Arabidopsis thaliana: one gene and its partner. The protein of the gene in region 2 purifies or fractionates together with the protein of the main gene of each other region. This does not show direct contact. Each region holds a gene or a part of one and is shown on either strand. Other genes may lie near its edges.

Region 1 (5,074 bases), on a different chromosome or scaffold from region 2:
CAGTCAAACTAGGAGTAAAACTTAGTAGTCTCTTAATTTTCTTTTCAAAATTCTAGTAATGAAATTATAAAGGATGACTTTGTTATTCCTAAATTATGTGACTGCGCACGATTAAGAGTTGTTATTTTCGGACAGTGTTACTCGAGGAAAGACATAAAAAAGACAAAAGACATAAACAATGATAAAATTAAACTTTATGGGGAGAAAATCAAATGTAAAAAAATGAAGAAAAAGAAAATGGAAGGTCAAAAAGTTGAATGCTGAAATTGTTCTTCTGAAAGAACGCGGAATTGGGTTAAAGAGCTTTAAAGTGTTGGTGGGCCGACACGATTGGTCGGCATGAAATCTTAAGGTGTGAACCTTTCAAGTACACATTTCTGCTGCTTATGCAGTGTCCATACTCCAATTTCGGTTCGTACTGGAAAACATACTAAAGTGGATGTATATTTGATAACAGTTTTTGTTTTTGTTTTTGAATACTAGTATTATATAAAAGAGATTTTTCCTAGTCTACTAATGTTTCAATCCAATCCATTGTAGTTATCAAACTAGTTATTTATGGGTATTCAAAGCTGATAATATGGTACTGCGGGGTAGTAGTATAATACTAAATAATTACTTACGAAATTAATAATGAAATGAGTAATTATAGAATGAATGCATATAATTAAGTGTTTTTTTTTCACAAAAGAAAGACGCCTGAATTTAATAATAAAGTGTATTAAATATTAATTCACATTTGTCGTAAATACGTGGATTGTAAAAGTGTATCAATCGTATGTATGTACCACTGGTTAAACAAATGTATGATGCATCAATAGTCAAACTAAAAAACTCGCTGATCTTTGAACACGAAGTTGAAAAAAAAGTCGAAAAAATCTCACTGATGTATGTAAAAAGAAAATATGTTGGTAAATAAAAGAAAAAATGGGAGGATAAAAAGGCAGGGAATAATCACAAACTTTTAGGCCTAAAAATGATAAGTGTTGGACCAACCCATGGCTTGCACGTTTGGTCTCATCTCGTTACTTTTGTTTTCGATCTCATCGATGTCTGCGTCTGTGCGGACCATTTTACCCTTGCCTTTTATTACTTCACTAAAAGATGAACACACGAATTATTTAGACATGCGGCACACAATTTTATTACGGTTAAGTTTACAGTTTTAAGGCGAAAATATATCGTTATGCTTTATGCTACATTAATTATGTATAGTAGTACTCCCTACCCAAAACAAAGTTACGTATAGTACTTTGATTGGCCATCGAGGACTCAAGGTTTACTAAATAGAAAGTAAAACAAAGAGATGTTTATTGCATTCGTCGTCCACACATAGAATAATCAATCATCATCATGATTTGTTTTACATTCTTAAGTTCTCGTAATTATTCGTTTCGTACGTTTTTTTAATTTTATTCCAAAGAATTTAACATTAATATTTTGAAGAACCATGTGCTACTAGCCTACTATTATACTCAATTGACAACAACCCATTTTATTTTGCTTTTGCTCGTGTTTCATTCATTTCGAACGATTGGATTTACATAAAATAGTCTATACACAAAGACAAAACAAAATCGCTTTTTTTTTTTTTTTTTTTTTCATTTTGTATACTATTATTGTGGAAAACGCAACATTTATATATCATACTATTGATCTTGCATGGTTCCATGAATTTTCTAGGTAAAAAAAGTGTGTTAATAGAACAAACAAAACTGTTAAAACATGTTGAATTACTTAATGCAATTTGACTCTGGTAAAACATGGTCAGCCACGACATTTCAACTACTCTCATTAACTCCCAAATGTTTCATCATTTAATATATGAAAATCATTATATAATACTCGTATGATTCAATTACTCAGATAATAGTGATGTAATGCATGACACTTGTTTTTGGAATTTTATTTTATTTCCAGTTATATATTACAGTTGTTTACTCGTCAGACTAATATTGACTGTTATTAGAAATAAAGGTACTTAATTCTTATTCTTTACGCGCTACAAAATAAGCAACAATGGCAAAACCGTAAAAATGAGTAGTCAAAGGGGTATTTGGTTTTAGAAAGAGATGAGGATAAAAATGAGGTTAAGCGTTTTTATTATTCCCCTGGTGGAAAGTAGGCAAGCAAGTGGTATCATCAACAAACAAAGCACTTCTCTTTTGATTCGATTCTCTCTTTACCTTGAAGCTTCAATATCAACCAAATCTTTTTTCTCAAAATCTCAAAGAATCTCTCAAACTCAGTCTCCTATCTGTCTCTCTGCAAACTATTACCAACCAGGTTAGATTCTTGATCTCAAAGTTTCCATCTTTTTATTTTATGTCGGTTGCTTTCGCTGAGTTCTGGTTTCTTTGATTTTCTTAGTTACAGAACACAACTTACTTTGTTTTTTGGTTTGGGCTGTGTTGAAAATTGAGCTTAGGGTTTTATGTAACAGTTGTCTTAGCTCATAGTTACGGTTAAAAAGCTCTCAACTTTGTCTCCCTAATGATAATTGAATTCAATCTTGTTTATGATTTTTCTCTATTGGGTCGATCTTTAACTGAATCTATCTACATAAAGATCCAACCGTTTTAAGAATCTTAGGGTTCTTATCATCTTGTTCAAAACTAAGATTCTGTTTTTTGGTGTGGCAGATAATTTAGATATGGAAGCTACTCAGAAACATATGATTCAAGAAGGATCTTCAATGTTTTACCATCAACCATCTTCAGTCAAACAAATGGACCTTTCTGTTCAGACATTTGATTCTTACTGCACACTTGAATCCTCTTCAGGCACCAAGTCTCATCCTTGTCTTAACAACAAAAACAACTCTTCTTCAACCACAAGCTTTTCCTCTAATGAAAGTCCCATTTCTCAAGCCAACAACAACAACTTATCAAGGTTTAACAATCATTCCCCTGAAGAAAACAATAACTCTCCCTTGAGCGGTTCTTCAGCGACAAACACCAACGAGACAGAGCTTAGTCTCATGCTTAAAGATTTGGAGACTGCAATGATGGAGCCTGATGTAGACAACAGCTATAACAATCAAGGCGGGTTTGGACAGCAGCATGGAGTTGTTTCTTCAGCTATGTATAGATCTATGGAGATGATCTCTAGGGGAGATTTAAAAGGAGTGCTCTATGAATGCGCAAAAGCTGTTGAAAACTATGATTTGGAAATGACTGATTGGTTGATCTCTCAGTTACAGCAAATGGTTTCTGTTTCTGGTGAGCCTGTTCAGCGCTTAGGAGCTTATATGCTTGAAGGTCTCGTTGCTAGGTTAGCTTCTTCGGGTAGCTCCATCTATAAAGCATTGAGATGCAAAGACCCAACGGGTCCTGAGCTTCTTACTTATATGCATATCTTGTATGAAGCCTGCCCTTATTTCAAATTCGGTTATGAATCTGCTAATGGAGCTATAGCTGAAGCTGTGAAGAACGAAAGTTTTGTGCACATTATCGATTTCCAGATTTCTCAAGGTGGTCAATGGGTGAGTTTGATCCGTGCTCTTGGTGCTAGACCTGGTGGACCTCCGAACGTTAGGATAACGGGAATTGATGATCCGAGATCATCGTTTGCTCGTCAAGGAGGACTTGAGTTAGTTGGACAAAGACTTGGGAAGCTAGCTGAAATGTGCGGTGTTCCGTTTGAGTTCCATGGAGCTGCTTTATGCTGCACGGAAGTCGAAATCGAGAAGCTAGGAGTTAGAAATGGAGAAGCGCTCGCGGTTAACTTCCCGCTTGTTCTTCACCACATGCCTGATGAGAGTGTAACTGTGGAGAATCACAGAGATAGATTGTTGAGATTGGTCAAACACTTGTCACCAAACGTTGTGACTCTGGTTGAGCAAGAAGCGAATACAAACACTGCGCCGTTTCTTCCCCGGTTTGTCGAGACAATGAACCATTACTTGGCAGTTTTCGAATCAATAGATGTGAAACTCGCTAGAGATCACAAGGAAAGGATCAATGTTGAGCAGCATTGTTTGGCTAGAGAGGTTGTGAATCTTATAGCTTGTGAAGGTGTTGAAAGAGAAGAGAGGCACGAGCCACTAGGGAAATGGAGGTCTCGGTTTCACATGGCGGGATTTAAACCGTATCCTTTGAGCTCGTATGTGAACGCAACAATCAAAGGATTGCTTGAGAGTTATTCAGAGAAGTATACACTTGAAGAAAGAGATGGAGCATTGTATTTAGGATGGAAGAATCAACCTCTTATCACTTCTTGTGCTTGGAGGTAACTAATAAAAACCTTGTTCGGTTTCAGAAGAGATTAGAAACTTCTTTTAAAGTTTGCAGAATCTGTTTGTAAAAGTAAAACTCATGCATGATCCGAAGGAACAAGTTGTCAAATGTTGTAGTAGTAAGTGATATGTTGATGACCCCATATATGTTTAAGGTTTATGTTTTTTTTTTTCTTTTCTCACAACAAACTATGATTTGACATCAAACTTATAACTCTCTGTTTATGATGTGATAAATTAATGATATATGGTTTTTTCTTGTCGTTTGTATTACGCACAAGGTTAGGAAAATTTGCAGATTTTTTTGAAGCAATATCATTAAGTTAATGTAGCACCAGACATCTAATTGACTAATCGAATGTCCTAAACAGTCAAACGTTTAACCAATTTTAAGGTGTTTAGAATAGTACTCAATTTTTCATTATAATGTATTGTTTTTTTTAATAATTTTTTAATTTTGTTTCATTATATTAAATGTTTTACAAGTTTGGATGCAAATATAAAATGTATTTGATATTTTGCAGCCACTTTTGTAATTGGTTGATTTTTTAAAAGTTAAATAATCGAACGTTAATGTACGTTTAAATGATGAACATACGAATAAATCAAAGTTATAACCAATTAGTTGTTTGATTAAACAATACTTGTAACAAAAACATACATGATCCCATTTGTAACCATCGTTTTAATGTTTTAGTTAAGAGATAATAAGAGAGAACCGGAATTCTTTTTTTGAAAATGTAGTTTGAAAAAGTGGTTAGAGATAATAAGAGAGAACTGGAATTGTTTTTTTGTACTTTGGTTAAAACTATGGTACGTTTGGAAATGAAACAAAGA
Region 2 (4,090 bases):
TGAACCCTCAAAAATGCTAATTAATTTGGTGAAATAGATCAATATCAACTTTCAACGACACACCTTTGTTTTTTTATGAAAAAAAAGTCTCATTTTCGTTTGTTTTGATTATAAACAAAGTTGGTCTCTCGCATGCAATGTACGTTCACGCTGCAATGACAATAGTGTACGTTCTTTGTTGTAATTTAGTCGAGAATCCATCTCCGACGTTAGGAACAATCTATCATCTTTCCTTTTTTTCTTTGCACAAATATCGTAAAAGTGATACCCACGATTATCTACACCAAAAGTGGTCACTGACAATGTACGAAAAAACTTAGAAAACAACTTAAAAAAAGACAGTTCAAAATGATGGTATTTGATCAGTGAGTAGCTTCTTCAGTATTAAAGCTCAATTACATTTATTCAACCTATGGTTATGATTATATAAACTCTGTTTTCTCTCCAATTTACCCTGAATATGTTAGCACTTGTAACTAACCTAATTCTTTCTATTAATTTCACATTTAAACAAACATATATAAATGGATTAACTAATTCTTGGATCCAGAATTTAGCTTACCATACTTAAGATCAATCCATGGATCTTTATTATAAAACTTGAAGCGAACGCTAAGACTAGTAGAGTCAATAAAATAGTAAACCAATAAACCTGAAGCTTTTACAACAACTAAGCAAGTCCTAAAGGAAGTCTCCACACAAAGTTCTGTGCTTTTTAACTCTCGAATCTGAATTCTGACCTTCACTATTTGAAAACCATTCAAACCTATCATTCTTCTTTACCTCTGCGAATAAACATAACTCTTCTTGGTTTCTTCCCGGGTAAGCCCGACTAGACCCGACATCTATTCTTGTAGACGGTTCTGAAGATATACCGAGCCTCAAGGATAAATCACAGACCCTCTCAGTTGCTTCTTCTGAGGGCTTTATACCAATAGGCATGCCAATGATTATGGGCGCTTCAGGGACTCTAAAAGACATGTCAGCTTGCTGCGTTTGATTATTACCTTCGTAATACAAAGGATAGACCGAACCCAAGTTGACTGGAGCTGGAGCAGGAGCAGAAGCAGGACCAGTTCCTTGTCTAATTGCCAATGGCTTTTGATGCATCTGCATGGATTCATGAAGAAACGGGTAACCGCGAGGAGTAGCTACACGCTTGTTGCTGTTATCAAGTACATCAACAGGGACTGCAGCTTGAACTGTCTGGCTTGGTTTGGTTGATGATTGTTGAGCTTGCTGACGATATTCATGATGGTAAGACGGCTCATTAGTCGACGCAGAAACCGGTTCCTGAATTTTAGGACCGAGGTAAGTCCTTCCGCTACTATGTCGTTGGCTTCTTGAAGCTCTTACAGCAATACATCCCAAATTAAGAGCAGCTAACCATATAAAAAAAAACCACATCAACAAACAATAAACAGTACAAAGCACTAACTTCTAAGTAGTTTCAATAAGGATCACTAGAGCTAAAGAGAGAAACAAAAATGACAATTACCTTCAACACATGGAGGCAAAAGAGGACCAGTTTCTGTACTCTCATCTCTTCTAATAATTGTATCAATGGCATCATTTACTCTATTCCACATAGTATCAGCATCTGTATACTCTTCCTAATGGAAACCGAAACCCAATTGTCATTTTGTGAAGCTGAAAACACACTAAAAAAAGAGAAGGAAAATTTGTTTAAAACCTCGGAATTGGCTTTAGAGTACATGATTTCTTCAGCTTTTAACACAACCACAGGCAATTTCTCCTGCCATTCTTTGTTCTTCCTCGTCGCTGCGCTATGTGCTTCCATTGCGAGTCTGAAATCAAACAAAGAAAACCCCAAATTAAGATACAAAGAAACCCTAGCGTACGGTTTTGAGAAAGATGAGTGAATGAAAAAAACCTGAAAATCTGGCGAATAATCGAACCACGAATAGGTTGATGACGATCGCTATGCCAAGCTCGTTTCACACACTCGTAAGGTCTTGGTCCTGGCCTCGGCATTTTCTCCTTCTTCACACACTTGAGCAGTGACACACTCAGCTACAAATCGAAGTAACAAGTCACTCACTCATCAAACTAATCGGTTCAATTTCTATCCGGGAGTATTTTCCGATCAGCGAGTTCGATGTACGAGTCGCCAAATGGTGTGGAAAGAAAAATCAACCTTAAAACTCTTTTTAACCGATCCAAGGAAACAGATCTGAAGCTTTGAAGCTCTGAATCGTTTGGAGATTTCGTCTACTTGAGCTCATACCGGTCACATCTCCGTCATCATCATCGTCATAGAATCTCCGATTGTTGTCTCCATCGTTGCCGCTTCTGGAAATGGAAATGGAAATGGTGTGATTCGGGACCGCTTCTTTAAAAACGAACCAGTTTTGTGATTTGTCTATTATACCCCTATTTGTACTAACTGTCGTTTTTTTTTTTTTTTTTGTCGGCAACTGTCGTTTAATATGGCTTTTTACTAAACCGGAATTGAAATAACCGGGTTTTGAACAGATAATATTAATTTCAAACGACACCGTTTTGGAGTTGTGTCTAACACTTTGATTGATTCTGAAATCTGGATTCGTCTCCTCCATTAAACATCTCTCGTCTGATAACACCGATCCATCTCTTTCTTTCTCTCTCCGTCGACTCTCGTTCTTAAAGATGAAAGCTTTCTACGTATTCGTTGTTGCTCTTCTTCTCACCTTGAATTATAGGGTTCGTTTTTGTTCCTTCGTGTCTTGCTCTCGTTTACGGAATTGCTTGTATGTAATGACATGGATCTGACTTTTGTTTGTGTATAGGGAGAAGCAAGTGGTTCTGTTTTCTTCATTGATGGATCCAACAATCAATATCTTCGTCCACGATCATCCAGTGAGGTAATGATTTTCGTCCCAAATGTGTGGATGACCGATTTGAAATAATCTCAAATTTGATCATTTTATATTTCAATCTAAGATCGTTTCTGGAAATTATACGAGTTTGGTCCATTGAAGTAGTAAAATAAGATCTATTGTTTGGTCTAAGTGGCACCAATTTGTAGTTTTCTTGTCTGTTTTTTTTTGTTATTTTGATATTGATGAGAGATCAATGGACAGATTGCAAATTTATGTTTGACAAGTACTAAAGTTTGTGATTTAATAGTTCTTTTTGATGAATTTTAGTTAAATCTCTTTTCTTTGAATTGAAATGCACAGGCACTTCCCATGTCGCCTGTTGAAATATCTGCAGCAGTGTCTGCCTTGTTGGGTTTTGCACCTTCAGCAACTTTGACAGCTGATGGCTCATCCAAGGTTATTTTAGTATTATAGTAGAGTTGTTTTTCTCTCTCTGGGTTAAAGTCCTGTACTTCATCGTTTATTTGTTTTGCATTTTGTTATAGTTGAACAAGATTCTAAAACCTAATCCATTTGAGAGGCCTCGCGCTGCTTTTGTGCTAGAAATCGCTGGAGCTGATGGTATGTGATTGGAAAGCTTTAGTTTTCTGACATGAACCAAAAATTTTAGTTGTAAAATATTCAAGTGTTTGTTTTTTACTTGCAGATATGCTTTTGGAAACCTCCCCTAGTCATTCTTTCTTGGGCAATGCCATAAGGAGCAGTATTAAGTCTGATTCGTACAAAGCTGATACTGAACTTCCAGGTGCCCTATCAGCTTGAATACCAGAACCATCTGAGCATGACTAGTTTCTAACTTTTTTTTCTTTATGGGTTTAAGTCTTACTTTGGATATTCTGCTAATCTTTTCAAAATTCTGCAGACAATGAAGTGGTTGTTGTGTCTGTCAATGAACCCTCCTCTGATGTGACTGACAAGGACATTAATGATTTTGTTAGTTAACAGCACCTGTCATTCTAAGTGCAAACACTATTTTTTTTTCCTTTTTAATATAATGTGACCACAAGTTAATGGTGTGGTTATAATATACTTAGGCATCTTGGTTGGGTGGATCATATGTTGCTGGAGCTGAACCATCGTCTGGATTGTTGAGTATCCCTCTGGCTGGGGGTGCTAATGTGGAGTTCAATTTGGAAAAGGTAATATTCTTAATTCCATGAAAAATTGTATGATTTTATGTGGGAGAGGTTGCTGTATTACCTGTAGAT

The links. The genes of interacting proteins can lie anywhere in the genome.
Region 1: the proteins of AT3G24150 (region 2) and SCL5 purify together in Arabidopsis thaliana (affinity purification with mass spectrometry, with the first as the bait; one study listed by BioGRID). This does not show direct contact.

Annotation. Positions count from the first base shown.
Region 1 is NC_003070.9:18,736,558-18,741,631, reverse strand, and holds SCL5 (scarecrow-like 5), read left to right. Parts: upstream 1-1,982; 5' UTR 1,983-2,072; coding exon 2,073-2,286; intron 2,287-2,296; exon of another isoform or gene 2,297-2,458; intron 2,459-2,642; coding exon 2,643-4,234; 3' UTR 4,235-4,569; downstream 4,570-5,074. UniProt on the Arabidopsis thaliana protein: Probable transcription factor involved in plant development.
Region 2 is NC_003074.8:8,723,592-8,727,681, forward strand, and holds AT3G24150 (uncharacterized protein), read right to left. Parts: upstream 2,396-4,090; 5' UTR 1,996-2,395; coding exon 1,895-1,995; intron 1,809-1,894; coding exon 1,694-1,808; intron 1,614-1,693; coding exon 1,499-1,613; intron 1,383-1,498; coding exon 682-1,382; 3' UTR 506-681; downstream 1-505. Other genes in the region: PMP (putative type 1 membrane protein), read left to right, coding at 2,650-2,703, 2,790-2,864, 3,183-3,278, 3,368-3,443, 3,529-3,627, 3,745-3,815, 3,917-4,021.